4 linked regions of the Elephas maximus indicus genome follow. The protein of the gene in region 2 purifies or fractionates together with the protein of the main gene of each other region. This does not show direct contact. Links are inferred from orthologs where the notes say so. Each region holds a gene or a part of one and is shown on either strand. Other genes may lie near its edges. The genes, in order: PIP4P2, PRKAG3, PFDN1 and PRKAA2.

Evidence for each region.
Region 1: the proteins of PRKAG3 (region 2) and PIP4P2 purify together in Homo sapiens (affinity purification with mass spectrometry; 3 studies listed by BioGRID and IntAct, with this or other methods). This does not show direct contact. The link is inferred for Elephas maximus indicus from reciprocal best matches to the Homo sapiens genes PRKAG3 and PIP4P2.
Region 3: the proteins of PRKAG3 (region 2) and PFDN1 purify together in Homo sapiens (affinity purification with mass spectrometry; 3 studies listed by BioGRID and IntAct, counting the BioPlex papers as one, with this or other methods). This does not show direct contact. The link is inferred for Elephas maximus indicus from reciprocal best matches to the Homo sapiens genes PRKAG3 and PFDN1.
Region 4: the proteins of PRKAG3 (region 2) and PRKAA2 purify together in Homo sapiens (affinity purification with mass spectrometry; 3 studies listed by BioGRID and IntAct, counting the BioPlex papers as one, with this or other methods). This does not show direct contact. The link is inferred for Elephas maximus indicus from reciprocal best matches to the Homo sapiens genes PRKAG3 and PRKAA2.

The regions. Positions count from the first base shown.
Region 1 is NC_064833.1:50,887,763-50,895,166, forward strand, and holds the start of PIP4P2 (type 2 phosphatidylinositol 4,5-bisphosphate 4-phosphatase), read left to right. Parts: upstream 1-3,952; 5' UTR 3,953-4,142; coding exon 4,143-4,248; intron 4,249-7,404. UniProt on the Homo sapiens protein: Catalyzes the hydrolysis of phosphatidylinositol-4,5-bisphosphate (PtdIns-4,5-P2) to phosphatidylinositol-4-phosphate (PtdIns-4-P).
Region 2 is NC_064824.1:117,394,890-117,402,225, reverse strand, and holds the start of PRKAG3 (5'-AMP-activated protein kinase subunit gamma-3), read left to right. Parts: upstream 1-4,159; 5' UTR 4,160-4,260; intron 4,261-4,767; exon of another isoform or gene 4,768-4,815; 5' UTR 4,816-4,937; coding exon 4,938-4,970; intron 4,971-5,418; coding exon 5,419-5,476; intron 5,477-5,964; coding exon 5,965-6,120; intron 6,121-6,418; coding exon 6,419-6,825; intron 6,826-7,336. UniProt on the Homo sapiens protein: AMP/ATP-binding subunit of AMP-activated protein kinase (AMPK), an energy sensor protein kinase that plays a key role in regulating cellular energy metabolism.
Region 3 is NC_064820.1:153,561,133-153,568,866, forward strand, and holds the start of PFDN1 (prefoldin subunit 1), read right to left. Parts: upstream 3,124-7,734; 5' UTR 3,092-3,123; coding exon 3,059-3,091; intron 1-3,058. UniProt on the Homo sapiens protein: Binds specifically to cytosolic chaperonin (c-CPN) and transfers target proteins to it. Binds to nascent polypeptide chain and promotes folding in an environment in which there are many competing pathways for nonnative proteins.
Region 4 is NC_064821.1:100,485,739-100,493,060, forward strand, and holds the start of PRKAA2 (5'-AMP-activated protein kinase catalytic subunit alpha-2), read left to right. Parts: upstream 1-4,123; 5' UTR 4,124-4,440; coding exon 4,441-4,534; intron 4,535-7,322. UniProt on the Homo sapiens protein: Catalytic subunit of AMP-activated protein kinase (AMPK), an energy sensor protein kinase that plays a key role in regulating cellular energy metabolism.

The sequences.
Region 1 (7,404 bases), on a different chromosome or scaffold from region 2:
CCTGGACTTCGGTGATTAAATGAAATGTTGGGGTCTTGGGAATAGAAAAGTGTAGTTTGCTTGTAGGACAGACATGAATCATTGTAGGCAGAGGGAAGATTGATACATAGTTATATAATGGTTTTCGATGAATCACGACTTCATGTGTTCCATGCCCCTTTGCAATGTGACATTGCAGATGAAGAGACTTCCTTTGACCAATAGAATGTGGTGGAAGTGAATTTGTTTGAGAACCAGAGCCTAGACCTTAAGAGGCCTCATGGCTTCCACCTTGCCCTCATAGAAACTGCTTTGAGACTAACAGACATGAAGAAGCCTGTAATGAAAGACTATACCCGGCCATCCCAGCTGTTGCAACCAAGCCCAGCTCCCAGCCCACCTGCCAGCTGAACATACCTGCATGAGTAAGCCCAAGCGAGGTTGACAGAATAACCACCCAATCAACCTACAGAATCATAAGAAATAATAAATCACATTGTTTTAAGGCACTGGTCTTTGGTGTGATTTGTTACTCAGCGGTAGGTAACTGGAACACTAGCTTAAGCACAGTACATTTCCTACTCCCTCATAAATTATCTGTTTATATAGCACCTTTTATTCCAACATACACATCAGTTCATCTCATCAGTAGAAATGGCAAAGTGCCACAATCATAAAAATGCCTTTGACTGATGAATATTAGTTAACATTTACTGAGCAACCCTAAAATTCTGTATTCTCTTTAAACTAGAATGAAATGATACTCATCTAATACAAGTTTTTTTGCTTTCTGTGAAACAACATTGCTGCAAATAAAATCTCAGTATACCTACTACCTTTTTAAATATTGCAAGAAGAGTAATTGTCATTAGCTGTCACTCTCAAATGAATTTTTGAGAATCTATGTAATGGAAGAAGGCAACAACAACAAAAAAAAACCTCTTCTACTGAACATGATGTGGGCAATATAGAAACCCTAGTTATAGAGATATACTAGAAAACAAAAACACTGGGCAGTCAGATGGCAAAACTGTCATCATCAAAAAGCTGAGAATTTCTCCTAATTTTCTTGTGAAATAATTTGTTCTAGTAAGCTTCTGGGACTGTGGAGAATTTATTTTTTCACTCATTCCTCTCTCTGGCAAATATTGAGTGCCTATTTTACTACATGCCAGGAACTGTGCTAGATACCGGAGATATAATAGTGAATGAGATATATATGGCTTCTGACCTCACAAAATCAGTTGGGAGTGGAGGGTGGGTAATGGGAAGTAAACAAAAGAATGTGCTAAGTGATACGATAACCTGTTGCCATCATGCTGATTCTGACTCATAGTGACCATATAGGACAGAGTAGAACTGCCCCACAGTGTTTTCAATGTTGTAAATGTTTACAGAAGAGAAGCAGATTGCTACTACATCCTTCTGAGGAGCACCTGGTGGGTTCCAACTGCTGTCCTTTTAGTTAGCAGCAGTGTGCTTAACCACTGCACCACCAGGGCTCCTCCAAGTGACATGATAGGACACTATAAATAAAAAAAAAAAAACATAGTAACAGGATTTTAGTGACTCTTATTAAAAAGTTTTCTTTAACTTGATAGCACCCAGACTGCTATTGTAACAAGGCTGTTTGTTTTGTAAATGTCAGGCACTTTGGCAGGGAGGGCTACATCTTGACCCCTCCCCTTCCAGGTTCCTCCAAAAAACCAAACCAAACTCATTGCCATCAAGTAGATTCTGACTCTTAGTGATCCTATAGGACAGAGTAGAACTGCCCCATAGGGTTTCCAAGGAGCGGCTGGTGGTTTTGAACTGCTGACCTTGTGGTTTGCACCTGAACGCTTAATCACTGCACCAATAAATGTCCTTGGATTATATTACATGGGGATCCTTATATTGTATCCTGATTTTACTGACCCACAAAAGCTGCCACAAAATAGAAAATACCATTCTTTTATTTCCCCTTAGGATTTCTAGCTGATGCCTAAGTGGATTTTCTGGAAGAAAGAGTACAGTGTGTCTTCAGAGAGCAAAACCAAGACCATTCTTAATGTAATGTGAAAAGTAGTTTCAAATGTCTAAAGTCTGCTTTTCCTCATGCTCCTTTAAAACTACATCTAGGACTACCAGCTTCATCTTTGGTTTCTTTTCTGACTGTGTGATCTTTTAGGCATCTTGAGGACAGGGACCATGCCCTATTCATCATCTCTGTAGACCCAGTAAATGCAATAAATGTTTGTTGAATGACTCAAAGACTCATTGCAGGAAAATTATCATTGGAGACCGTTACTATTTTCCTGTAATATTATTATCTGGGCATGTTCAAAACTTTGATTTGTTTTTGTATTTTATGCAAATCACTCCCTAGGATAATATGGCAATCAAAAAATAAAAATATACACAGAAAGCAAGAAATGTACTTATATTTGTTTACTCATTTACATGTAAAAGTTTATTTTAAAATATTAATTATCTCAAGAAACTTGTTTTTAATTGTCCTACGTTATTTTTAAACTTCATTACTGTACAGGCAGTCTCCGGATTAGGAATGGGTTCTGTTCCTAATCTGTCATTAAAAGTCAAATTGTGGTAAGTTGGAATAGTTAGTTATGGTTGATATCTAACTGTCAGTTAGTCAAATGTTTGTTTTAGTATATAGTATTTTTTTTTTATTTTTTATTTATATAGTGCATCTTTCTATGCATAAAAAAAATTAAAGAAACACTTCCAGATACTCAAATATCTTTATCTAAGGTCAGTGGTGGTAGCTGGGCACCATGTAGTTCTTCTGGGCTCAGGCTGGTAGAGGCTCTGATTCATGTGGTTCTTTAGTCCTTTGGGCTAATATTTTCCTTGTGTCTTTGGCTTTCTTCATTCTCATTTGCTCCAGCTGGGATGGGACCAATAGGTGGCTGCTCACGAGCTTTTAAGGCCCCAGGCACTACTCATCAAAGTAGGATGTAGAACATTTTCTTTATGAATTATTGATCTAGAAGTCCCATGACAGTACAGTTCCCAGCCCCAGCAACTCAGTCCCTCATGGTATTTGGGTATGTCTAGAAGCTTCTATGACTTTGCCTTGGTCAAGTTGTGCTGACTTCCCATATATTGTGTGTTGTCTTTCTCAGCACCAAAATTGACACTTGTCTATTATCTAATTAGTGATTTCCCCCTCCCCAACCCTCCCCACTAATAATAATGCTTGATGTGAGGCACCCATTTGTTTTTAGGAACCATTGTATGTACCACAAAATTTTAATATACTAGGCTTTGCGGGGGGTGGGGGGGATGTTGGTTAGTTGTAGTGAGTTGTATGAAAGTCGGACATTCGTAACCTGGGGCTGCCTGTGTGTGTAAGATAGCAACCTATTTCGTAAAATGAGACTTAAAGAAGCCAACGCACTATGTACGGCTTTAATTAGGTACTTATTACTAGAGTGCCAAACAGGTATTAAAAAATGCAGTAAGAGAAAGCAGGGTATGCCAACACATTCAAAAATGTATACTTCCTCTTAGACTGGAGATGTTGAAAAGCTTTTGCATGACAAAAGATGAACCTCTCAAAAAAGAATTGACAACCCTAGGAATAAACTTTTTTCATATAATTGCTGCAAAGTTTGATAGCAAAGAGTCCCTCTTCCTCCCCAGAGGGACTAAACTTGATATCTGTGTTTGCTCTAGTTTTCCTGTAATCAAGTCACAGCCCGTTTTCAGGTTGCCCTTTCCCCTCCTTTTCCTTACTTAAGAAAATGCAAAATACAAAGAAAAGAAGAGTTGTATAGCCCCCTCTCCATCTACTCCGCCCCTTTTTTGGTTACTTCGCACCTTCCTTTTCCCACATTTCCCAGTCCGTCCTAATGTGTTCCTTTTTTCTCTGTGGGGCTTGGCTCCTGCTCCTCCCTTTCTTCCCCTCCTCCTCTCCCAGTCCCTTTCTTTCTTCTCTCCACCTCCTCTAGTCATGCTTCCCGGCGCGCTTCCCCTCCCCCGCCTCCTGTTCCCGCATCTTCCCATCCCCCAGCCTTCTGCCTTGTGACACATCCTGGGCCCTCTTGGAGGCGGCAGCAGCGGCAGCGGCAGCAGCGGCAGTATTAGCATTAGACGCCACCTCCACCAAAGCCGCAACCCCGGCTCAGCCTCCCTCTGGCCTCGCTGCTGCTGCAGTCATGGCTGCTGATGGGGTGGACGAACGCTCGCCCCTGCTGTCAGCATCTCACTCGGGCAATGTCACTCCCACGGCCCCACCGTACTTACAAGAAAGCAGCCCCAGAGGTAAGGCCAGCCTAGACCTTTCTACTTTTGCAAGGAAAAGCCTAGAATCTAAAAGACCAGGGATGCTCAAGCTCAGAGGCGAAGGCGAGAATCTCACTTGGACTGGGGGAGAGGGAATGCCGACTGCCTTCTGAAGGAGAACCTTCCTGCCTAATAGCTTCTCCGCAGGGCTTCTCTCTGTGCGTGCGTGTGTGTGTGTGTGTGTGTGTGTTGTGTGTGTATTGTATGGTGTGTGTGTTTCATTACTTCTTGACCAGGGGTAAAGGATGTGCCATGAATTTCACGAGCTGGGCTTTGCTCCTCTTTTTAGAGCAACCCGTAAGTGCAGCTGGGAGGTGGTGCAAATCTTTCACAATCATTCACAAATCCTTTCGGGTTCCTGAGAAACTGGGAATATTGCTCACCTTGGTATCTGTCCTTGAAAGGGCTTCAGCTTGTAGAATATGCATCCCCTAACGTTCATCCACCAGGGCTCTGTTCAGTCAGGGAAGTACTTTATTTACCACAATGAATTTAGTTGAACAACATTCCTATTGTGTGTGAAAATCTCACCCTTCCTTATTGCTCCTATTTGTAGGGAGTATGTGTTGGCTTTTAGTTGTGAATGGGGAGGAAGAATCTAACTTTTGATAGAAAGAAAAATGGGATATTTTTGATGCGTATCTGGGTGAGGTTGAAATGAACTTCTAAAAAGTAATCCAAAATAATACAGCATACGTTTCTATTTATTGTTCTTCTCAAGATAGAATTAAAAAGGATTTGATGGCATTGGGGTCTAGAGAAAGAAAAGGTAATCTATTTAACAAACTGTTCAACCTATTCAAAGATCTATCTTTGTTCTAAGCCTTTCAGCTGATTCCTATAGTAGAAATAAAGAGGGGTCAGGGAGTTACAGAAAATGGAGGACAAGACTTTAAGAAACCACTTAGGGTAGTGAAAAACCAAAATCCAAACCCGTTGCCATTGAGTCGATTCTGACTCATAGCAACCCTATAGGACAGAACAGAATTGCCCCGCAGGGTTTTCAGGGAGTGGCTGGTGGGTTCCAACTGCGGACCTTTGGTTAGTAGCGAAACACTTAACCATTGCACCACCAGGGCCCCAGGTAGGGTTGTGAAAAGGTTGGCCACATATGGCCCTTGGAAATTTAGCTTTAAGAACATCTCTCTCCTTTTTAGCTGGTTGTGAAGAAAGTTTAAAAACCCAAGGAGACAAAAAGTTAATGCTTTTAAAAATACGAGCAGGTCATGTTTCTTGTAACAAAACTTCTTCTGAGTTCAAGCCTGGAATTGGAGCAGCTGTAGAGCAGGTTCAACTTGTCTAGCATTTAAAATTCCCATTCAACACATTATAACTTGAAAAGCAGCAACCTAAATCTTTATCCATACTTAAAAGAAGCAGGACAAAGAAAAAAGAAAAGTTTACCTGGGAATAATTCGGTGTGATGGATGAGTATGAAATAAAGCGCAAAATGGAACCGAGACTCAACTCACAGAAAACCCAGAAGTCATGTTGGTTGGTCAACATTAAACTTCTGTTAGAGGACTCCAAATGGAGGAATTTCCTTTAATGGAAAATTTGATATTAATAATAATAATAATAATACTGGGATTTTACTGTTATTTAAGTTATATTGTCTAGAATAGGTTTAAATATTCATCAGTGAATGTTTCAACTTCATCAAGTCACTCTTTTAAGACAAAATATTTCACAATTTATTAAGAGAGAGAGTTTGGATATAAGTCACTGTCCTATAGACTATCCTTTGTCTTTGATTCTTTTTGTTGCTGTTGTTGTATTTTTAGCTACCTAGTAGCTAAATTATTCCAAAAAATGATCATAGTCATTGACCTGATTGTATCATTTACCATACATTGATTGAAGCTGATAAAATTCCTCAAACTATACAATAAGGTACAAGTTCCAGTTTGGCAGTGGAGGAAAATTAGTTTCATTCTAGAAAATTTTTAGCAACCATAGAAATTTAATGATTTAGCAAAAAGGCCATTCTGCCTTAAGGTAAAATAGAATTTTTCTAACGTGTGAGATTAGATCATCAGGGAGGTGATTTTCCTATGGTGTAGTACCTATGAGGCAAGACCTATAAATGAGGGTTATAAATCCTAGACAAGTATTTTGCATTTGGGCAGAATATCTTTTCATAATAAATAACAAATAAGCATCTTCATAAAGTTTATTTTTTAATACTGTTTCATATTGATTGAATCAAAATAGTCTTAGTTCATATCGAAGGTTTAACTTTAGAAGACTGGTGCTGTTCATTCATTTAGTAATTTATTGGACACCACAATGTGCCAGGCGCTGCTCTAGATGAACAAAAAAAAAAATTAAAGATTGACCAGACCCAGGCCCTGGTGGAGCAGATGTTGTAGTGGGGGTGGGGACGGGGGAGGGGGGAGGGAGAAGAAGTAAATATATAAAAAATATATATATATATGACTTAGTTATTTCAGGTAGTAAGAGAAATTCTGTCACTACAGCAGATGTTTTTAGTAGTTGAAAGCAATTAGAGCTGAATGTTGAGATTCAAAAGAACAGAAATAGAATGTACTTTTTGATAATGAACTTTGGTTTATGATACCATTTATAATTACCCAGAATTTTTTTTTTTTTTTTTAAGGAAGAGCCGTAACTAGGGAATATTTTCTCCATTCCAACCCTTTGCTCTTTGTGTCACCATCTAAGAACAGCAACGTGAGCACCCATCCCAAAATACAACATTCCATGTCAGGTTGAAAGTTAGTGGAATGTTTTTTCTAGATAGGTTATTAATAATTTAGTGGGAAGCAGTATTATTAGCAATAGTTGTTGGTAGCTGCCATCGAGTTAGCCCCCCAACTCATGTGACCCCCAGGCACAACATTGTGATCCACAGGGTTTTCATTGGCTCCAGGCCCTTCTTCTCAGTCTTAGTGTGGAAGCTCTGTTGGAACCTGTTCAGTGTCACTGCCGCACTCAAGCCTCCAGTGACAGACGGGCTGGGGCTGCACCTGCAGTGCATTGACTGGGAACGAAACTTGGGTTTCGCGAAGAAGAGGACTCTGCCGTTGAACTACCGCTGCCTCCCTAGCTGTATTTAGCATCTGGTTTGAGCACGAGGGGGGTCATGCGGTGTCTGTGTGACAGTCCGCCTGG
Region 2 (7,336 bases):
TCATCTCAATTAATTCAGAGTCTCCCTATCTTCCCGGGGATTGTCTAAGTTCCTGAGTACTTAGGTAAGGCTGAGGTCTGGGGCACCAGGGGAGGTATTTGGTCCTCAGTCATCATCTTCCCACACTGGCATATCCATATCCCAATGCACCTTCTTTAGGAAGCCTTCCTTCATCAAACTTGTCTCATCCCAATCCTTCTTTTACTCTATTTTCCCCAAGTATTTTTTTACCCCATGGATACCCTACTGGTTTACTATTATTGCTTTTTCAAATGTGCAGTCTTTTTCTTGGGAAAATGTAGTGGTATAAACATCACTACAGAAGTCTTTGAAGGTGTCTAGGCCTTCTGATACTTTGTTAGTTCCAGTGTCAGTTAGAACCCTTTCAGCTGCAGGTGACAGAAGACTCAATTCAAACCTCATTAAGCCAAGAAAGAGTCTATTGGTTGCTCTAATTGAAAAATTCAGTGATGGGTCTTCAGGTATAGTTTGATCTAGGGGCTCAATGAATGTTAGGAAGACTTAGTCTTTCTCATCATATCATGGCTCTTTTGCCCTCTGTTTAGGCTTCATTCTCAGATAGGCCCTCTCTTCATGGTAGCCTCCAGAATCTCTACGCTTACATCCTCACAGCTCCAAATCCAGGGGAAAGAAATTCCTCTCCATTAGGCCTAGCAAAAGTCCCAGGATTCATCCCTATTGTACCAATTCTGTCAATGTCCTCCCAACCAATGTGACCGGGGGAATTTGTGTGTTAATTGACTAAGTCTGAATCAAAGGCATCCTTCCTGGGGCCCACAGTTGACCCTTCCCAAATCACAAGCTCTAAGATTGGGGGAAGTGTGGTTCCCTGAAGGAAAACTCAGGGATTTTCCAAAAGAGGGGTACATGGGTACTGGGTAGATAAAAGCACCATCTCTCCACTATGATCCCCAACAGCTCACAGAAAAAGGCTCAATAAGGGTGCCTGGGGTAGGCTGTACTAACAAGGTGCTGATTCTGACAGGTCCTTGGAACACAGGCACAGATGCAGCTCTCTTTCACCCACACAGACAGGACGGGAGCTGGAGTGTCTGGGTGAATGGCATGAAGGGTGCTTCCAACCACTCTGACACGAGGGGACCCCATTTGAGATTTATCAGTCATAGGTCTCATTGAGGCAACTCTCTTGGCCTCCTCAAGCTGTTTTTCTCCCTCTGATATAAAAATAACATTTAAACAGGATCCCTGACCCCATGTCCCAGACAAATCAGCTATCCAGAGATGGCAGCCAAATTCACCCTAGGGTCAGGGTGCAGGGTCCTTATTTTACACCCAGTTCTGCAAGCAAGCCAAGAAGTAAGATTTCAAGAAATATGATGCCATGACCAGAGGCTAAAATCAATCACCTGAGAAGTATTTATTATCCATCCGAAGCCAGCACCTTCTGCTGATTCTCCCTGCCAAAGAGGATGGGTGGCGGGTAGGCTGGCAGCAAGAGCAGGTGTTAGAGTTCTGAGGCAAGGACCAGGGCCAGGGTAAAATGAGGGCAAAGCAGGGGCAGGGCGGGGATTCATAGGGGCAGGAGGACAGAGACTGGGCAGGGGCGGGGCAGGGATAAGGCAGGGGCAGGAGGATAGGGTTAGAGCAGGGTCAGCGCGGGCAAAGGAGCAGGGAGAGCGCAGGGGCAGGGCAGAGGCAGGAGAAGGGCACAAAATCACTATGATTTTGGTGTTGAGCAGTGCGGGGTTTGCCCCCTCCTCTGAGGCCCTTCTCTACTCCACCTTTGACGCCACCAAGTAATAACTACTAGAGTCAGAGCCCTCTCATGCCTGCCTGCCTTCAGAGCCTCGTAGCTGGAGGTCTAGGAGAACTGTGAAGCAGGTGGCAAGGTAATAACAATAGTAACCACTTACAACAACCAACCAGGTGCCACCAAGTTGATGTCAACTTACAGTGACCCCACTTTGTGTCAGAGCAGAACTGTGCTCCGTAGGGTTTTCAATGGCTGGTTTTTGAGAAGTAGATTGCCAGGGCTTTTTTCTGCATAAACATTAAGGGTTATTACAGACATATGTAATTTCTAATCCTACCCCAATCTGTGATACAGGTAGATGTATGAGTTAGAGAGAGGCTTGGTGGCTGTAGCAAAGGCGCAACTTATCAGTGGCTTAAACAAGACAGACAGTTATTTCTCTACAAAATTAGGTGGCCAGGATGGGGCTGGGGGAGGTTCTATCATTTTCAACATCTGTCTTCCATGGTTGGGTTCAAATAGCTGCTCAAGCTCCCACCATCATATCATGATTCCAGTCAGTAAAAAAAGTCAGTAGGAAGGGGAAAATCTGCCACTTCCTTTTAAGGGCACCCTTAAGAGTTGCAAACCACATTGTTGCTCACATCTGATTGGCCAAACTTAAGTCACATAGTCATACTGTGTGTAAAAAACCATTGCCATCAAGTTGATTCCAACATATAGTAACCCTATAGGGCAGAGTAGAACTGCCCCATAGAGTTTCCAAAGAGCTCCTGGTGGATTTGAACTGCTGACCCCTTGGTTAGCAGCCATAGCACTTAACCACTGATCCATCAGGGTTTCCACTATCTCTAAAGGAAGCTGGGAAATATAATCTTGTGCTCAGCTAAAATCTTAAGGATTTACTAGCAGAGCAAGAAGAGGAGAATAGATATTGCTCTGTCAGAGCCCACTGCCTGGCTACCCCACACAAAGAACACATTCACCACTCCTCCAAGGGAGGCAAGACAAAGTTCCAGTTGGGACAGCACACAGCTCAGAGTCCAGGATCTCTGAGCAGTCCTCTCTACCAGGTCTGGATGGGGTTCCTCATGGTCTGGTGACCTAAAAATTGAAAGGCGGAAGTATACCCCTCCATTCCCCATAACAAAAGTGGAACAGGAACTGGACAGCTCAATTAAAACATCCACTCAGGATAGCAAAGAATGGCAAACACCCATCACTCACTGAACTTAACAATTACTAAAACCAGCTGGGCAGGGATTACAAAGCCCCTTCCTGGCAGTGGAGTAAGTTCTTGGTCAGTGTATCTGGCCACCTCTGGTTCTGTTCTCTGGGAGGATTACCCCTTTCCACTCCCCGGTATGGCCTCTGGCTTTGCCTCCTAGGAATTATTCCTTACCCATTATCCTTGTGGCCCATTGGAGAACGTGTCCTCCTTGTGGACCCCACAGTTCTCATAGGCCTCTTTCTGCTGGTACAGACTTGGGGTTTGGGGGCATTTGGGGGGAGTCAAGCTAGACTTTGCTGATCAGGTTCCTGGTTTCTTTTTCAATACAATGCCCTCAAATTCTTAGAAGGCTTCTGACCAGTTCCTTATTTGAGTAACCACAGTCAACAGTACTGTGTAGACATCAATTTTACGCTTGAATATGCTATACTTGATATTCTTCCTATTCTCCCCTCTTTCAAACTACTGGTGGTTATCTTGAGGCCATCTGAGAAAACATGCTTGGCTGTGAAGACACTCCATTATTCTGATTCTGCTCAACAGTTTGTGCTTAAGAAAGGCTATGGACCACATGTGCAGCCCTTGCTAAGGCAGCCTCTTCTCAACCACCTCCTCTATTTAACCTGAGCGCATCTCTCTTGTAGAACTTTGCTACTAGCAGCAAGACATAGCTAACACACACCAACGGTCGGAGTTTTTCCAAGCATAAGGAGGTGGGGCAGGGATTGAGGGGGCTTTCCAGGTCCACTGCATTACATATAACCAAAGATGGTCCACTTGGTCTTTCTACCATCTGAGGCATCCACATTAGCAGTACATTGGAAATTCCATCATCTGTGGCCAGATAGGGCCAGGCCACAGGGATCTCCAGAGGGTCAAATGGGGAAGTGGGAGAAGGGCTGCACACATCCCCTTTCACGATACATATGAAAGGCAAAGTCTTCCCCTTCTCTGTTCTTATCCACGCCCCACACGCAGCACATGGGTTTTGAGGGATGATGCAAGAAATCCATGGATCCATTCCTGAGTGTCCACTGCAGGGCCAGGGACTGGGATGGAAGAGGCTAGAAGGAGGAGAGGAAGGGAGGGGCAGGGAGAGGGGAGCTGGAGCAGCTGGGTCAGCATTCCCTATTTGGACATTGACTCAGGCCCCAGGAATGCCAAGTAGGGTGGGGGTGGGCAGCCTACAGAGTCAGGCTGGGATCCCGCTGGCTCCAGGAATTGCAGGGACAACACACGCAGTCTGTGGGGTTGCCGAGGCTCCTGCACACCCAGACATACCTCCCAACCGCAGGTAAGAACAGGTGTCTCACCCTGTGAAGAAGTACAGGCCCTTAGCCCTCAATGCCACCCCATAGCTTCAAGGTGATCCCCACAGCTCCCCACCTGCCCGAACTACCCCCACTCCAGCCCCTCGTCCAGAGAGAGGGACAGACTCTTGAGACTCAAATGAGAACCTCTGGACAGATATTGGCGCCTCTCCCAGGATCACCCACAAGCCTCTTGGGTTATCCCCAGCCTCTGAGCAGGTAGCTTGCACTTTCCAACTCAAGTGGAGAAAGTCAGGCCCAACCCACCTCCATTTTCCCTCCTTTGGAGCCTGACAAAAGTGACAGAGGCTCTCAGAGTAGGAAGCTGGAACTCTGAAACCCGCCTCCTCCCAGCCCCATGCCCCCACAATGCTCCAGGGGCCTCCCCCAGGCAGTTTCTCATGTAACCTGTCCTCAGAGACCCAGGAGGCAATTAGGGGCCAGGCATCAAGATGTCCACATGCTCCCCTTTCTCCCCACCTGCCCCCCAGGCCGCTGGGCTGGAGCAGCTGGGTGGATGGACCCCTCCCTCCCCACAGCCTGACACCCAATCAGAAGGAAACCGATCCGGAGAGGGCAGGGTGCCAGAGGCCAGGCCCAGAATAGTGCTACCCAGCCACAGTGTCGCGGACTCACTCTCCGTGGGTCCAGGGCTGGCTGCATGGAGCACGAGCCGGAGCACACACTGAGCAGGGTATAGGGGTCTCAGACGGGCGGCAGCTGGGGCAGCTGGGGCAGAGGATGAGAGCACATTTGGCTAGAGAGAGAGAGCATGTGTGTATTTGGTCTGGATTGTCTCTGTGTATGTCAGCTTGTGGGTGTCTGTGTCTGTACATTCGTGAGTGTATGTAGTTCTGTGTGCATCTGAGTGGTTGGATATTAGTGTTTGTGTATGGCTGCGTATGTGTTTATGTGTGTCTCTGTGTGTGGGGGTGTGTATGTATGTGTGTGTGTGCCTGTGTATGTGTATATGGGTATTTGTGTGTCTGTGTGTATGTGTGTTTTTGCGTCTGTGTGTCTATGTGTATGGGTATGTGTGTGTCTGTGTATATGTATATGAGTAAGTGTGTGTGTATGTGTGTGTGGTGGGGAGGGGAGGTCCTGTGGTTTAAGAACTTAAGGAGTTTTCCCCTCCCCATCAGACATACTTCTCCCCACAGACCCCATCCTGGAGCAGACTTGGAGAGCCTGAACATCGAGGTAGGTGGTCCTGCCCCTCTCCCAGGGGGCCTAACCTTTCCCTGACTCCCTTTGCCCCCTACCTCTCTGTGACCCCAATTTCCCCCCTCCCACCAGCCTGGCTTTTATCTCCCTCTCCTTTTCCTTCCTTCTCCCTCTGTCTCCACTTCCTCCTTTCCCCAGTTGTTGCTTTCCTCACCTCCTCTTTCCTTCTTCCAGAAGAAGAGAGGAAGAATCTGAAGTCTGAAGACTTGGACCCCAGTCCTGACTTCACCACTTACTAATTGTGTGATTTGTAGCAAATTGCTTAACCTCTCTGAACTTCAGGTCCCTCACTAGTAAAATAGCAATGACAACAATGCCTCCCTTATAGGGCTGCTATGAGGTTTATATGAGAAAAGTGTTGGAGAAAAGCCCTTTAGAATCTTGCAAATATCGTTATTAATTAAACTTTATTGATTTTGTTGTGTCACTCCCCATTAACCAAATAGACCCCATTCTCCTTCCAGAGATGAGCTTCCTAGGGCAAGGAGATAGTGCCTCATGGTCATCACCCACCATGACCACCAGGTCAGAAAGAACCTGTGGGAAACAGGGGGCCAAGGCCTCCAAATGGACAAGGCAGGAGGTTGTGGAGGAAGGGGAGCTGCCAGGCCTGGGGAAAGGTGAGGCCAAGGTCAGTGCTGGAGGAGGGGGGAGTGGTGGCTGTAGGAACTCCCAGAGTGTGGGGCTGGACTGTGCCCTGAGTCTGTCCATAACACAGAGTTGGACCCAACCTTCATCTTGTAGACTCAGTCTACCCAGGGGCCCAGTGTGGCCAACTCAGAAAGACAGGACAGAGCCACTACCTTGTTGTGTGACTCTGAGCCTCAGCTTTCTCACCTGCAAAATGGGGGCCACAGCAGCCAGGCTTCCCAAGTGCTTCGGAAGATGGAGTTAATGTCCTCCCTCCCCTCTCCACAGGTTTCCCATCCAGGCCAGCTGCTGAATCCACCAAGCCAGAGGCCACATTCCCCAAGGCCACACCCTTGGCCCAAGCTGCTCCCCTGGCCTGCCCAGGCACCCCGCCAACAGGGTGGGACCTCCTGCCCCCTGACTGTGCCATCTCAGCTGGGGGCTCCAGCACAGATGATCTGGCGCTGAACATAGAGTTCCCAGCCACACCAGACGGTGGATATGAGCTCGAACGCCTAGTGGAAGACAGGCCCTCCCCATGCCCGTCCCCAAAGTTTCCGCTGCCCAAGATGGGCTGGGACGACGAACTTCGGAAGCCCGGGGCCCAGGTCTACATGCACTTCATGCAGGAGCACACCTGCTATGATGCCATGGCAACCAGCTCCAAGCTGGTCATCTTTGACACCATGCTGGAGGTGAGGCACAGCTCTGTCCCACTAAGCTCAGTCTCCATTCTCACAGCACTGCCACATTCCCCTGCATGTCCCCTTCGAAGGTTCCTTCTTAGCTCCATGGAGACCAGTGAGTGGGTGGAGGGAGGGTTTATGTTTTCTTTGAACACCACCTGATTGTCATCCCAGCACTGCCACCTACTATCTGTGGGACCTTGGTTCAGCTACTTTACCTCTCTCATTCCTGAAATGGGTATATGAATGCCTGCTATGCCCTACCTGTTAGAGAGCACTGCTGGGACCACCCATTGTAAACGGGAACAATTTATAGACAGAGAAGCACGTGTAAGACACTGCAGAGTCTCTCAGGACAAGGAGTAGGGAATGAACTCTGGTCCCTGTTTTCCACTCAACCAAACTACAAAGTGTCTATGCTTCAAGTCTTACCATCATTACAGCAGAGCAGTGTTTCCCAAAGCATCATATATGTATCACCCACAGTATGGGATGTGATTCTAATGGCGCATGAACAAAT
Region 3 (7,734 bases), on a different chromosome or scaffold from region 2:
TGTGAAATTTACCAATGCAAACATCAATAAAAATCAATGTAACTGTAAACGATCAAGGCACTATGCTAAACACTGAATTTACACTGCCCTCTGAAGATCCAATGTATTGAAACAAGCAGAAGAAATGCACATTAAACAGTAACTGTAACAAGTCGCAAGCACCCAGAGTAATAAATGCAAGTTAGAAGAGAAAACCCAAAGATTAAAAACAAGAACAAGAAATGTAACAACTCACTACATTTGTATCATACTTCTAAGTTTCAAAGCATTCTCCCACATTAATTTGAATATTAATATGAGAATATCTATTAAATATCTCACTCCTCTCAATAACCCTATGAATTAAGAACAGCAGTCTCAACTTCCACAATTTACAAAGTGACTAAAATCATTAGGAGATTTGTGCACAGGGTTGCACAACTATTAGGTGAAAGGCAGGTACTTAAATCCATTTCTTTTGACCCCTATTTCAGGCATCTTCCATTTTACTGTCTTCAGTATTATTCAGAATATGGATATTTTTTAAGAGAAACACCAAAAAAGATAGAAAATGCAAAGCACTGGTAGAAGAATTGTGTCATGCTCTTCATACACACATGCCAAGCCAAACTCTACCCTGTGTATGCTTACTTAACTTGAACATAAACACAGGTCTTGGATACTCTTATTGAAGTGCCTGGAATGACTTCCACATGCTGTCAAACTTAAGCCTTACTAATAACATTTGTGACTACAGTACATGGCAAAGACTACTACTTAACTTTTATTCTGACTTTGTTCTCACCTACTAGTAAGGTATCAAAAGATTTGTTTGGGGGGAGGGAAGGCACCTAAAATTTCCCATTAGTCTCCATCCAAAAAAAGATCTTGAAAAAACATTAGAAGATGAAACCTTTGAACAAGTTTGCCGGGTTTTTTTTTTCTTTAATTGGTTGTCAGAACTATCCAATTTAAGTATCATTCTCATTTACATCTTTGTCTACATGTTTCTTAGCAACAAATTAATATTACAGGGTAAGTCCATTTAGTTTTTTTTGTAGTAAATTCAAATAATACTGTAAAGTCCATTCACACTTAAACTCCCTTGTTAGATCTTTCAGTAAACTACTAAATTTGAACTTTTAACAGAAAAAAAAGGTATAATTTTGGAATGCAGTCTGATAGTGTTCTGAAATGTAAAATTCCAGGTATTACCTGATTGTTCTCAACACAGTTTGTTAAGGAAGCTCGTATATTGTTAAAGCTATTACAGCACTAGAGAACACTACATAAGGGCTAAATTTACGGGTTTTAAGACAAAAAATGGCAAAAAAAGACACAAACACACAAAATCCTCACAGAAATAACAAACAGCTTCATTTATTAGGAGCAACAGCTATTTCAGCTGTCCTATTTCTTATGCACAAGCCCTGGTAGCACAGTGGTTAAGAGCTGGGCTGTCAACAAAAAGGCTGGCAGTTCAAATCCACTAGCTGCTCCTTGGAAACCCTATTGAGCAGTTCCACTCTGTCCTATATGGTTGCTATGAGTTGGAATCAACTCAACAGCAACGGGTTTGGTTCTGGGGTTTGATTTCTTATGCAAAGGCTGACCAGAAGGCAGTCTCAAGAAGTAATATGATGGACTTCTCAAGAACCTAAATTAATGGTCAAAAAAGTGTGGGGTAAGATAAAGAATACCGGATTCTAGTGCCAATCTTTGACTATAACTTTTCTGGAACTCAGTTTCCTTTTCTAGAGAAGTATACATTTAAGCTAGATGATTTCCAAGGTCCTTTCCAACCTCCCTCCGAAAAAATGGTATGGTTTTGGATGGTTAGGGTTAGGAGCCCCAGTGGCATGGTTAAGGCTCGGCTCCTAACTGCAAGGTTGCTGGTTCCAACCCACTGGCTCTTACGTGGAAGAAAGATGTGGTGACCTGCTCCTGTAAAGATTACGGCCTTGGAAACCCTATGGGGCAGTTCTACTCTGTCCTATAGAGTCACTGAGTCAGACTCGACTAGGCACCAATGTGTTCAGCGGTGTTAGAAACCTGGCAACTCTTAGATAACAAAATCTGAGTAACACATTTTTAAGCAATTATTTTAACAAAGAAACCCAATTCCTTCTGATATCTCTTTCATTGGTAAAACTTTACTGGACTTAATTACTTTTTTTGTCAAATCTTTCCCAAAAAGGAGCCCTGGTAACTCAGTGGTTATGAGCTCAGCTGCTAACCAAAAGGTCTGCAGTTCGAATTCACCCGCTGCTCCTTGGAAGCCCTACAGGTCAGTCCTACTCTGTCCTATAAGGTCGCTATGAGTCGAAACTGACTTAACAGCAACAAGTTTTTTTGGTTTTTCCGAAAAAGAAAAGGGGGTCAAAGTCCTGATATGAACATTCCTATGAAAATACCTGACTTTCTGAGCTGCAGAGACTGCAACCTTTCGAGGTACGGAATCAAATAAAAAAATTAAAAAACTGTCGCCGTCGAGTCGAGACAGACTCATAGCGACCCTACAGGACAGTAGAGCTGCCCCAATATGGTTTCCAAGGAGCGGCTGGTGGATTCGAACTGATGACCTTTTGGTTAGTAGCTCAGCTCTTAACCACTACACCGCAGGGCTCCATGGAATCGAATAAATGGCCTAAAAAGACAAGTTGGACTGGAGTTTTTCAAATCAAATGAAGCGGCAGAATTGCAGTTCAAGCAAGCCGCCCGAAGGAGCTCCAATCTGAAACGCTCTCTTCGAGTTTTACTATAGAACTGAGTCCCTGAAGGTTCCTAGCGCAACAAAACGGCTCTGGAGCTCAGAACGAGGGACAAGCCAGCGATCGGTCCGCAGACTTAAAGAGACCCACCCAACCGGCTCCTATCCAGCAAGAGCCACTCGCCCCCTCCCCCCCTTACCCAAGCCTAAGGAGACCCGGTCCCGCCTTAGGATTCTGGGAAACCACTTCCCAGTCCCCTGGAGCCTCTTTTTTTTTTTCTGTGGAACTCGGGCCTCAGTCGATACTCTTGTCTACAGGCCCCTCAGTTTCGAAAGAGAAACCTCTACCCGCTCAAAACCCTCTTTTACCTTCTTCAACTCCAGATCCACGGGGGCCGCCATCTTGGCTGACTTTGTGCGCCTGCGTATTGGGAGAAGGCCGGAAAGGAGACGGGGGAAGGGCGCGCCCTGAAGAAACTGCCTGTTCGCCTTCCTTCTACGCCTGCGCGTGAGTGAGGCGGTCTCTGAGCGGTTGGTCTGGCCTCAGAGTCTGTCTTCCCCACATGGCTTATCAGGCTTGAGTTGCTCTTCTCCATCCTTCAGACACGGCCCAACGCACAGACTACGTGTATGGGCTTAAAAAAATTGACAAATAGCTTAGTTTGTACTGCTAAATTGAGATGTATGTATATCAGACCAAACCTTCAGTTTTTCAGTCCTCCAGCAGGTCCCTGTGCTGACAGGGATGAGTAAGAATGGGTCCCTCGCCTCAGGCATGCTACTTTCATGCTGCTGAGTGCTCTCTGAAGACCTAGACAAAGTGGTTCTCGAGAGAAATCCAGTAAGTTTATTGAAAAAATACATGTTTCCTGGGCCTCATCCGGAACTTGTTAGTTGCCATGGAGTCTGCTTTGACTCATGGCGACATTATGCGTAACAGAAGGAAGCGTTGCCTGGTCCTGTGCTATGCCATATTTATGATCGTCGGTATGTTTGAGTCCGTTGTTGCAGCCATTGTGTAGTGCCATTTCACCTAGGGGGCTTATTTTCCACTATATCGGACAATATTCTGTTGTGATCCCTAAGGTTTTCATTGGCTAATTTTCGGAAGTAAATTTCCAGGCTTCTCTTCTTCATCTGTCTTAATCTAGAAGCTCAACTTAGACCTGTCCACTATGAGTGACCCTGCTGGTACTTGAAATACTAGTGGCATAATTTCCAGCATCATAGCAACATGTGAACCACCACAGAACTACAAAATGGCAGTCTGGTGGTGGCATCCCAAACGTACTTAAAATCTTTGACAGTGGGGCCTGAAAATAAGCATTTTGCAAACTCTCTGATGACCTAATGCAAGGCATTAGTGGGCCACATTTTGAGAATTTCTGCTCTAAAAGGACCTGACATTTGAACTAGAGGAATGAATAGTATTTGGACTTTTTGAAATGGAGGAAATAGATGTTTTATCTACCCTAAAAACTGAGGGAGAGGGAAGATCAGGGAATTTGGAACGAGCAAAATTCTGGATCTGGATTCAGGGCTTGGCCTACATTGAGCTTAGGTCTATTTGGTTCCATTTACTAACTGTGTGTCTCAGCAATTCATTTATCCTTGATGAGCTTCAATCTCCTCATATTTCACTTAGGAATAACAATATCGATCTAACAGGGTTATTGTGCAGAAAATGGGATCAGGATGAAAGTTCCAAGGACAGCACCGTGCACACAGTAGATAATAGATAGTTGCTGTAGTTAATATTATCCTGTTTGCCCTTCAAGGTCCAGCAAACATGCCACCTCTTCCGTTATGTCTTTTTTGATCCTTACATAACCTATCACACACACCAAAGATAATCCCTCCTCTAAATTCCCTCAAGACTATATCTGTTTCTCTCTCAGGGCACTGTGGTGCAATGAATCACTTTCACATGGCTCTTCTAGCCATGGTCTTGTACTCCCACAAAATGATTGGCTGGAACTATGCAAATGGAGTGACTATGGTCTACCAAGGGGATTGGTCAGTTTGTGGTCCTGGTGGGAGGGCCATGACTGGAAATTGACAAGGGGTTTCCTTACATAAGGGCCAATCACATAGAGGTTCAGGGGACCTCACTACCATCAGGAAGAAGAGTCTTGAGCAGAGCACGTCCTTTGGACCAAGGACCTTTGGGTCCCTTCCATGAGAACCTCCTCAACCAAAAAGAAAGCAAACACTGAAGACAGCATGAGATGGCAAGAGACAGTGGCTGTGAGCATGTCAGCCCACTGAGCAAGGTGGCTGTGGTGGGGTTGCAGGCCCACAGAGTGAGAGCTGAGCACCTTCGAGCAGAAGACTTACAGGCAGAGCTAAAATAGCTGTAACACTTGCCTGTGCAGGGCGGATGTCTGAGTGTGTCCCATGCAGGGGTTGCCTTGGATGACCCTGTGCAATATTCCTACTGCAGGGCGAAGCCGGGAGCCTTTGGCCAGGAGGCTTGCCACAAAACCCAGTACCATCGAGTCGATTCCAGCAGAGCTAAAAGAGCTGGTAACGCTTGCTCCTGCAGGGAAGAGAGGCCTGAGTGTGCCTCTGCAGTGGTTGCACACCTCCCTCCCTGGGCAGCAGGGGCCCAGGTAATGTGGAGGCAAGAGAGCCCTGCAAGCCTGGGTAGTGTGGCAGGAGCCAGCAGTAAAGGCCAGCAAGGCCCAGTGGCAGCAGAGGCCTCAGGAGCCATACAGGACCCCACAAGCATCATGGTGGTAGCCAGAGGCAGCAGTGACATGAAAACAGCATCTGACATCTGACCTGAACTATGGCAGTCCTGCCCTGCAACATAAGATGGACATGGATAATTTGGGGAAGGGTAAGCGATTCTCCTTTGGTGAATCCGTTGTTACTATTTACTGTTTGCTTTCTATAAATAATAATGGCTTTCACTTTCCCAACATTGTATAAGTGCCTCATATGTCCAGCTCGAAACAGATGAATGTAACACCCATAGAATTGGTGATGTCAGTGGGTGTACATGCCTCATTCCTAGCAGTCTGTGGCTGCCTGAAAGTTTGAGGCACAGACCGTCTGTATGTGTAAGGCAGATAGACAGACACGTAATTCATACAGGCGTGTAACAGTTTCTACCTTATTTTTTGAAACATTTTTTATTTGTTCTTACACCCCTTACCCCAGAACACCTATCATAGTGCCTCACAGGAAAGAAATACATAAGAAATCTTGGATATAAATGAATTCTTCAGAAGAAGAAAACTGTCATCACTCTCTAACTTTACAGAAAAACAGGCCTAATTCATAATTTTAGATCCTCTACTGCCTTCTTAGAACTTCATTATAAAAATTATAGATGATCAATAATAGTGACAATATTGAAATTTGAAGGTTTCGGATACTTTGCTGTGCATTTCATCATGTGATTTTGAAACGCTCCTCATGAAAAAAAAAAAAGTATGTAACATGAAAGTACGGGCTAAGGTCAGACAGTTTAGGTTCAAGTACTGACTCCTTAATATCAATGTGCCCCCAAAGACTGGACAGGCCCATAAAACAAAACATGGCTAAAGGGGAACACCAGCCCAGAGGCAGGGACTGGAGGGCTAGAGAGTATAGCAAAGCTGATAACAGGGAACTCAAGGTCCAGAGGGGAGAGTGTTGACATGTCGTGGGGTTGTTAACCAGTGTCATAAAACACTATGTATACTATTTAATGAGATGCTGGTTTGTTCTGTGAACATTCGTCTAAACTACAATTTTAAAAAAAAAAAAAGATCAATGTGCCCTTAGGCAAGAGTCTTCTCTCAATCTTTTGTTCATTGTTTCTTTTTGCATCCCACTCCTTCCTCCTTGGTTTAACTTCCTTCTTGATGAAATAAATCCTTCAGTAGGTTCTCTTATTAAGTCTTTGAGGAATAAACTTTCTTTTTTTACATTAATATATGATTTATTTTATTTTTGTTGTTGCTGAGCATATACATACCAGAACATACACTAATTCAACAGTTTCTACATATACAACTCAGTGACATTGATAACATTCTTCGAGTTGTGCAACCATTCTCACCCTCTTTTTCTGAGTTATTCCTCCCCATTAATATAAATTCACTGCTGTCTAAGTTTCCTTTGTAATCTTTCAAGTTGCTGCTGTGAGTTTCATACCATATAGATAGATCATAAAAGAGCACAATGCTCAAGTCATTCTTTACTAGTTAAGCAAAACTATCGTTTGGTTTTAAGAAGACTTCAGGGAATATTTTTGGTTTAAGGTTTAGGATTACCTCAGGGCAATCATTTCAGGGGTTCATCCAGCCTTTATGACTCCAGAAAATATGGTTTCTATGAGAATTCGAAATTTCATTCTGCTTTTCCCCCCTTTTGATCAGAATCTTCTATGGAATCTTTGATCAAAATGTTTAGTAATGGTAGCGAGGCACCATCCACTTCTTCTCGTCTCATGGCAAAGGAGGCAGTTGTTCATGGAGGCAATCAGCCTCACATTCCGTTCCTTCCTTCTATTACTGACTCTCCTTCTTCCTCTGTTGCTCCAGGCAAATAGAGACCAATTGTTGTATCTCGGATGGCTGCTTGTAAGCTTTTAAAACCTCAGGCACCAACTACACAATGAACTAGAAGGTAGAATAGAAGCACTAAACGTATTAGGGTGATTAACTGGGATGTCTCATGAAAAGAAACCGTAGTGGTGTAGTGGTTAAGACCTACGGATGCTAACCAAAAAGGTCGACAGTTGAAATCCACCAGGCGCTCCTTGGAAACCCTATGAGCCCTATAGGGTTGCTATGAGTTGGAATCGGCTCAACACCAATGGGTTTGGTGTTTTTTGTTTTTTTTTTTTTGGTCCAATGAAACCATCACCCTAAACCTTCAAGCTAAGGAAACCAAATCTGATGAGGTGTTTGGTTGTACATAAGCAGCCTCAGCAAGTACTCTTTTGTTTTGTTTTGTTTTTGTCATTGTTGTAAATATATTTATCACACAACTTTCGCCAGTTCAACTTTTTACAGGTGTACAGCTTATTACATTAATGAGCTGTGCAGCCC
Region 4 (7,322 bases), on a different chromosome or scaffold from region 2:
AAATTGTGCAAACTTCAGGAGCCACAGAACCTGAACCTATTTGAGTCCCATAATGCGCTGGGTACTGCTCTGGGAGCTAAGGATACATAGTGAACAAAACAGAGAACAAGAAAAAAAAAACAAAAACAAAAAAAAACTCTCTTTTGTGTAACTTACATTCTAATTGGGGAAGACAGACAAAACGAAAACATAATAAAGAAGTAAATTAAACAGGATGTTAGAAGGCAAGTGCCATGGAAAAATACTGAAGAAAATAGAAGGGATATAGAGTGCAGAGCAGGGAGCATGGCTGAAGTGAAACTGCAAATTTAAATAGGGTGGTCAGGGCAGGCCTCAGTGTGAAGGTGACTCTGAGCAAATACTTGTAGGAATTGATATTACCAATGGAATCTAGTATAATACATTAGATTAGTGGCACTCCGTTATTCTCCCATTTGGGTCCTTCTTTAGGCTACCAAAGTAAAATAAACCCAAAGGCCCTTTAACAAACCAGTTGCCATTGAATCTTACCCATGGAGACTTCGTGTGTGTAGAGCAGAACTGCGTTCCATAGTGTTTTCAAGGCTAGGACCTTTTGGAAGCAGATTACCACGGCTTTCTTCCAAGGTGCCTCTAGGTGGGTTCGAGCTGCCAACCTTTTGGTTAGTAGTCAAGTGCTTAACTGATTTCACCACCAGGGACACCAAAGACCATTAGTAGGAAGGAAAATTAATAACGGTTGGAACAAAGTTAAGAACTGTTTGGCTACCTGGAGTTGGCCATCTTAGGGCTTGGTGCTAAACAACATAAGGACACTAAAACATCACTGAAAAATAATAAAATGAGGGATATTACATTTTTGAAAAAGTCTTTTGGGAATGAGACCCCGAAGGATATGACTCTTTTTTGTTTTTATATAGAGACCAAAGTTTTATTAGTGGTTACGAGGGGCAGGAGGGAGTGAAAATGGGGAGTCGTTTAGGAAGCAGTGAGTTTCTGTTTATGATGATAGAAAATTTGGCAGTGGATATTGGTGATGGTTGCATATCACGTTAATACAATTGATGTCACTAAACTGTACATGTGAAAGATGCGAAATTGGCAAATGTTGTATAATGTATATTTTTACAATAGGGAAAAAAAGCGTCAGAGCAGGAAATGCTGTGTCGGTACTAAAACAGAGTCAGGTAGTGAGAGCTTTTCCCTCCCTGACTTAGTGGCTTCCTCTGCCCACCTCCAAATCTGCTGTGACCAAACCACTAGTGAGTTGTGAAATCTTCCCACAGAGCTTTTATTGTTCTAGATATTTTTTTGGATTACTTGGTTTGGATCTGCAGTTTAAAGGTGAGTTTGGAAATGTGAGATTCTGCATTGTGTTTCTAGTTCGTGTTGATTTACTTACTGTGATTTTTCCCCCCAAGAAGGAATGACTTTTGATAGGTTCCTGATTTCAGAGAACCCACAGCAGTTTTATATTGATAATTAGAAATAGATCAGTGATGTCATAGAAGATTAATAATGACCAAGTAGGTGCCAAGGATATGACTCTTTAGGAGATTTGGTTTGGTTAACTGTTATGTTTTGCCTGCTGAGTAGGGTGATGAAAATAGGAAACCATACATGAAGTGTTCATGGCAACAGAAGAAAGACTAGTACTGCCATCAAGAGTTGTCCTTTTCCATTGTACCTATTAAGCCTTTAATCTTTCCTTTAAGTTGGGAAAATCAATGGAAAATACGTTTAAAGGGCATATTATTGGCTTATCCTAAAAATAATAAAAACAGAATGGGACTACAATTGTGAAAATTTGAAGCTTTCTTAGAGTACTATACATTCTTTTTTCCTAAGCAGCTGTGATATAGAAAAAAAAAAAAATGGATGAGTCAGCACTGGATATTTGATTCTGCTTAAAAACGGGAAAACATTTCTGAAGCTTAGTTTTATTACCTATAAAACAATAAATTTCTTCTATGAAAATTAAATGGGATAACTGGGTTTAAATGAACTCTTTAATCAACCAAGCAGCATACATAATAATGCTACATAGACTTATGCAATGATTATAGACATGACATATATAATAATTTAAATTGTAATTATCAATGAATAGTGGTATTAGGCACTGGGTTAGTGGTATAAAAATGCTGTAAAAACTCAATCTATAATCTTTCTTCACACAGCTTCAAGAAATGAATCTAACTACAAATGAAAACTTTTTGGCTTCTTTTAATGGGGTGTTAGAATAAAAGGCCAAGATCCCTGCTGGTGCAAACAGTTAAGCGTTCAGCTGCTAACTGAAAGGCTGGCAGTTCAAACCCATCCAGTGCCTTCTCAGGAGAAAGACCTGGTGTCTGCTTCCTTAAAGATTACAACCAAAAGAACCCTACGGGGCAGTTCTACTCTGTCACATGGGGTCACTATTGAGTCGAAATCAACTCCACAGCACCTAATAATGGGAATAAAAGACAGACATACACCTTATTACCTTAAAAACAGAGTAGGTACTTTATTTTCTTACTCATTTTAAAGAATATTGAAGGATTGACCCCTAACCAAATGAAAGTTCAGCATCAAAATGACTATTTTCTCCAAATTGCCAGCTCAGTTGAGTGATTCTTAAATACTTCTTGTCAGAAAGAAAGATGATGTGAAGAATGAACAAAAATAGCTCTGTTCAACAGCTGTGATATCTATAATTTATCAGCTGTGATCATCTCTCAGCAGATTGTCTTGGTGTCTAAAGAAGAATGAAAGTGTATTTTCCATTTGTATATGAAGTACTTCAAAGAAAACAAACTTCTCTTATACCTATTTTTTCTTAGCCATACATTTCTCTTTACATACAAGCAGCGTGCTAAGGGACCTCATGTTTGAAGAATGTGAGCTTAGACTCTATTGACACATACGGTGTTATAAATGTTTAATTAAAAACAAACAAACGAACAAAAAACCAAACCCGGTACAACCCCATGTGTTACAGAGTAAAACTGCTCCATAGGGTTTTCTTGGCTGTAATCTTTATGGAAGCAGATCACCAGGCCTTTCTTCTGTGAGGCTGCTAGGTGGGTTTGAACTCCAACTTCTAAGTTAGTAGTCAAGCACTAACTTTTGCACCACTCAGCTACCTAAATGTTCATCTAATCTTTAATAATTTGTCCCTAAACAGTAAATAATCTTGTTAAGTACTGAAAGGTATGACCACATTAAGGAAAGAAGGAAATAATTTCACTGCCAAATTGTCAGTCTTTAACACTCTGCCTGGGTGTCATGCCTCTAGTTTCCACTTACTATTTTTCTTTCACTTCTATCTTTATCATATTTATTATTTCTTTGATTTGGGCCATTTTATTGCCCTTGCTCTTCACAATTCCTCTTTGCCTCTTAGGTACTTTACTTTCTATGCTTATTACATTCAGTTTTCATTTCTTTCACTCTTTTTCCTTTGTACAGCTCTGTCACATACTAGTATTTTTGTACTACAGATTTACCTGAGCATGTGCTGAAGTACAACCGAGCAAACACTGTGACTTTGATTTATTGGAAAACTTTGTGCAAATTAGTTAAAATTGAGAGCTCTGGAGAAGAGGGTCTCTTCCATCTACACGGCAAAATAACTGGGAATTATAAAATATGTAAAGAACAATTAAGGAAAGCATAGAATTGGGTTCTGTATGTACCACGGCCAATCAAAAAACAGCCAGGTCCTGTCTCGAGAAACTTCCTTTAGCTCTCCTCAGACTGCCGTTTGATCAAGGTCCTTCCCACCACCCTCCCTGGACTTTCCGCACACCCACAGCGTATGTATATATCTATGTGTATCGATGGCACTAGTTTTTTTTTTTTTATTTTTTATATACCCATAGATATATATTTTTTACATCCCTTCCTGCTACTTTCACGTTTTTCCATTTCCGAAGATTCTTCCCAAATCTCACCTTCGCACTGTCACCGCCTTCAGTTTTCCTCATAAGGGGTTCCCGGGCCGTGTCCCTTTATCCCCCTCCTCGCAGCACCTGCCTGTTTTTGACCCTATTTCGGACTTCCCACACCTGGCTCGGGACCCCTCCCTCAAATCCTCCTGAGACGCCGCGTTCACTCCTGGCCCGGGCCCACGACCTCGCCGCCTCGCCGCCTCGCCGCCTCGGGCCCCGCACACAGACGTCTCTCACGCGCGGGCGCGGGAGCGTCCGCCTCCCCACACGTCCTCTCTACGGTGCGAGCGCCCGGCTCGCCGCCCGTTTCGCGTTTCCCACCTCGGCCAGGCCCCTCCTCTTCGCCACCTCCCGTCCTCCCGGGACCCGCGCCCGCACCGGTCACCGCCGCCTGCGCCCCTCGGCGTCTCCCGACTCGGCCCCCGCCCTCCGCAGGTCCCGCTGCACTGTGGGTAGGCGGCAGCGGCGGCGTCCGCGTCCGCGTCCGCACTGAGGAGCCGCCGGCCGCACCGGGCTGCGGGCGCCGAAGATGGCTGAGAAGCAGAAGCACGATGGGCGGGTGAAGATCGGACACTACGTGCTCGGGGACACGCTGGGCGTCGGCACCTTCGGCAAAGTGAAGAGTTGAGTATGCGCTCGAGGCCGCCGCGCGGGGCTGCCCGAGGCGCTGGAGGTCGGGCCGAGCCGGGAGAACCGCGGGAACCGCTGGAGCCCCGGGCCGCGGGAGGACGGGCGGGCGGGCGGACGGGCGGGGTGCAGGGCCTGGCGGCAGGTGGAGCGGCCCGGGGCCGCGCGGAGCTTGGTGGCTCCGGGAAGGGGTCGGGCGAAGAGGAGCGAGGGTGTGGGTGCAGGGGACATTTGACCCGGGTTCCTGGTACGGTGCCGATTTCACTTTCCAGTGGTCTGGAGCAAGGCACTTCTCACTTCCCCGGACCTCAGTTTCCTCGCCTGTAAAAATGGGAGACTGGAATAATACATCTTACTGATTACTGAGTTTCTTTTACGGGCCAGATGCCCTGTTAGGTGCTTTTAGTGTGATCTTTAATCCCAATTTGGTGAAGATATCTTCACTGCAAAGGTGAGAAAACTGGGATCCGTGGAGGTTTAGTAACATGCCCAAGGTCACACAAATTGGCAGAACCAGGATGAAGTCTAAGATGTCTTCCAATTCTGGCATTGCTGGGAGTTCCCTGCCATTCCTAGATTCTTTAATGCTGAGTCTCAGTTGGTGGGGCTGGAGGTTTAGCGGATGCTCCAGGGGCCAGGAGGTGGGTAGGTCTTTTTGCTGGCTATGTGAAATGCTGGAATACCGCTGGATTAAGTCATGGGTTAATTAGAAATGGGAGATTGGTTGGTGTTTGTCAAAGGAAGGTTTCTGGGATGGGGAAAAGGAATAAGGTTTGTTGGTACTGAACTTTTGAAGATTTGGGCTCAGAGGGGCAAACCTGCCAAGGCATATACTGCTGACGTCTGTTTTCTTGATGATAGGATCCCATTTTGGGGCTACTTTTGGAATTTTCTACTTCTTAACTAGTTATGTATAAACACCCCCCCCCCCCATAAGAGTCACTTGGGCTTTACTTAACATGTCTTCTCTCCAGAACTAGAGCCAGTTTATTAAAAGTATTTTCTGTTTGATTGTTGAAGGGTTGACTTTTTGTTTGTTTGTTTCTTCTGTAGAAAATGTTAGGTAGATAGTTTGGACATTTTATTCTGAGGTCTCTATTTTCTTCTAAAATCATGCTTTAGCTTCAAGTCCAGACCGTTGAATAGGTAGAAGAGACTCATTGTTCCCAAATTCCTGTGGTAAGGATCAGTTTCTATTTACTTTTCCATTTTTTAATGTCCATTCATTTGTTCAGAAAGCAGTTAATGAGCACCTACAGTGTGCTAGGCACTGTTCTAGGTAATGGAAATACAGCAAGGAACAAAATCAGGAAGGCAAACAATAATCAAAATATATGTAAAATATATAGTATGTTTAGATTGTAGTAAGTGTTATTGAGAAAAATGAAGTAAGGTAGGGAGAATAGGGAGTTTTGTGAGGTGTGCAATTTTCAATAAGGAGGTTAGGAAGGGGCTCACAAAGTGATATTTGTGTAAAGACCTTAAGAAGGTTGCGAGCTTCTCTGAAGTACCATGAAGGCTATAAAGTCCTGAATTACCTTTGAAAAACCTCATAGAGTAGATAGAATATGTTTAGAATGAATATAGGAAGATCAGATGTTGGATTAATACCTGTAACGTTAACTTGTTATTATCATTATCGAGGACTATTGTATTACAACATCATGCAGTTACTCAAACAAACAATGCCTTTGCCATCTGGACGTGTACACTCTGGAAATTATATAACTTACTCCTTGTCCTTTTAAATTGTTAAATTTTTTTTTTTTTTTTTAATTTTCTCCACTGTAATCTGAATGTAGACTAGAATACCCATCAGATCAATTACCCATTGTCAAAGGATGACTTAAATTGCTTTTGTATATACTGTTGAGCTACTGCCAGGCACTAGCTTCTTAAAGTTCCAACAGAAGGAACTTTGATTTACAAGAAATCCTTTTCTGGAGAACCCCTGTCCAGTGAATAAACAATAGGAGCAGGTTTCCTAACACTGTGTTAGATCCTCTCTGAAGTTATGCTGTGGTTTCCCATCAAAGATTAGGATCAGTAGAATTGTTTGTTTAATAAAAAATATAGAACTTACTACAATTCTCAGTTACTCATTTAATTCAAGACAAATGAAGGAAAAGCACACCCATTTTTTAAAGCAGCTTTATTGAGGTATATTTTATGTATTATATTTATACCCATTTCAAGTGTACAAATCAGTGATTTTTAGCAACTTTATCAAGTGTTACAGCCATCATCATAAATCAACTGTAGAACATTTTCATGCCCACAGTAAGATCTCTCATGTTCATTTACAGTTAATTCTCATTCCCACCCCTGCCCTAGGAAACCACTGATCTATTTTCCTCTGTATAAATTTGATTTTTCTGGACATTTTGTAATTTTATGTAAATGGGATCATTCACTATGGCATCTCTTGTATCTGACTTCTTTAGAGTACTCTTTCTGAGGTTCATGCATGATATAACATGCTGAATAATATTCCATTGTATGGATATGCTATTGGTAAATTGTTTTCACCAGTTGATGGACAATAATTATTTTCAGTTTTGGGTTATTACAAGTTATGCCACTATGAACATTTGCATGTGCATGTAAGTTTTTATGTGGACATATGTTTTCATGTGTCTTGGGTAGATATCTAGGGAAACCCTGGTGGTGTAGTGGTTAAGAGTTTGGCTGATAACCAAAAGGTTAGCAGTTCAAATCCACCAGATGCTCCTTGAAAACTCTATGGGGCAGTTCTACTTTGTTCTATAGGGTTGCAATGAGTCG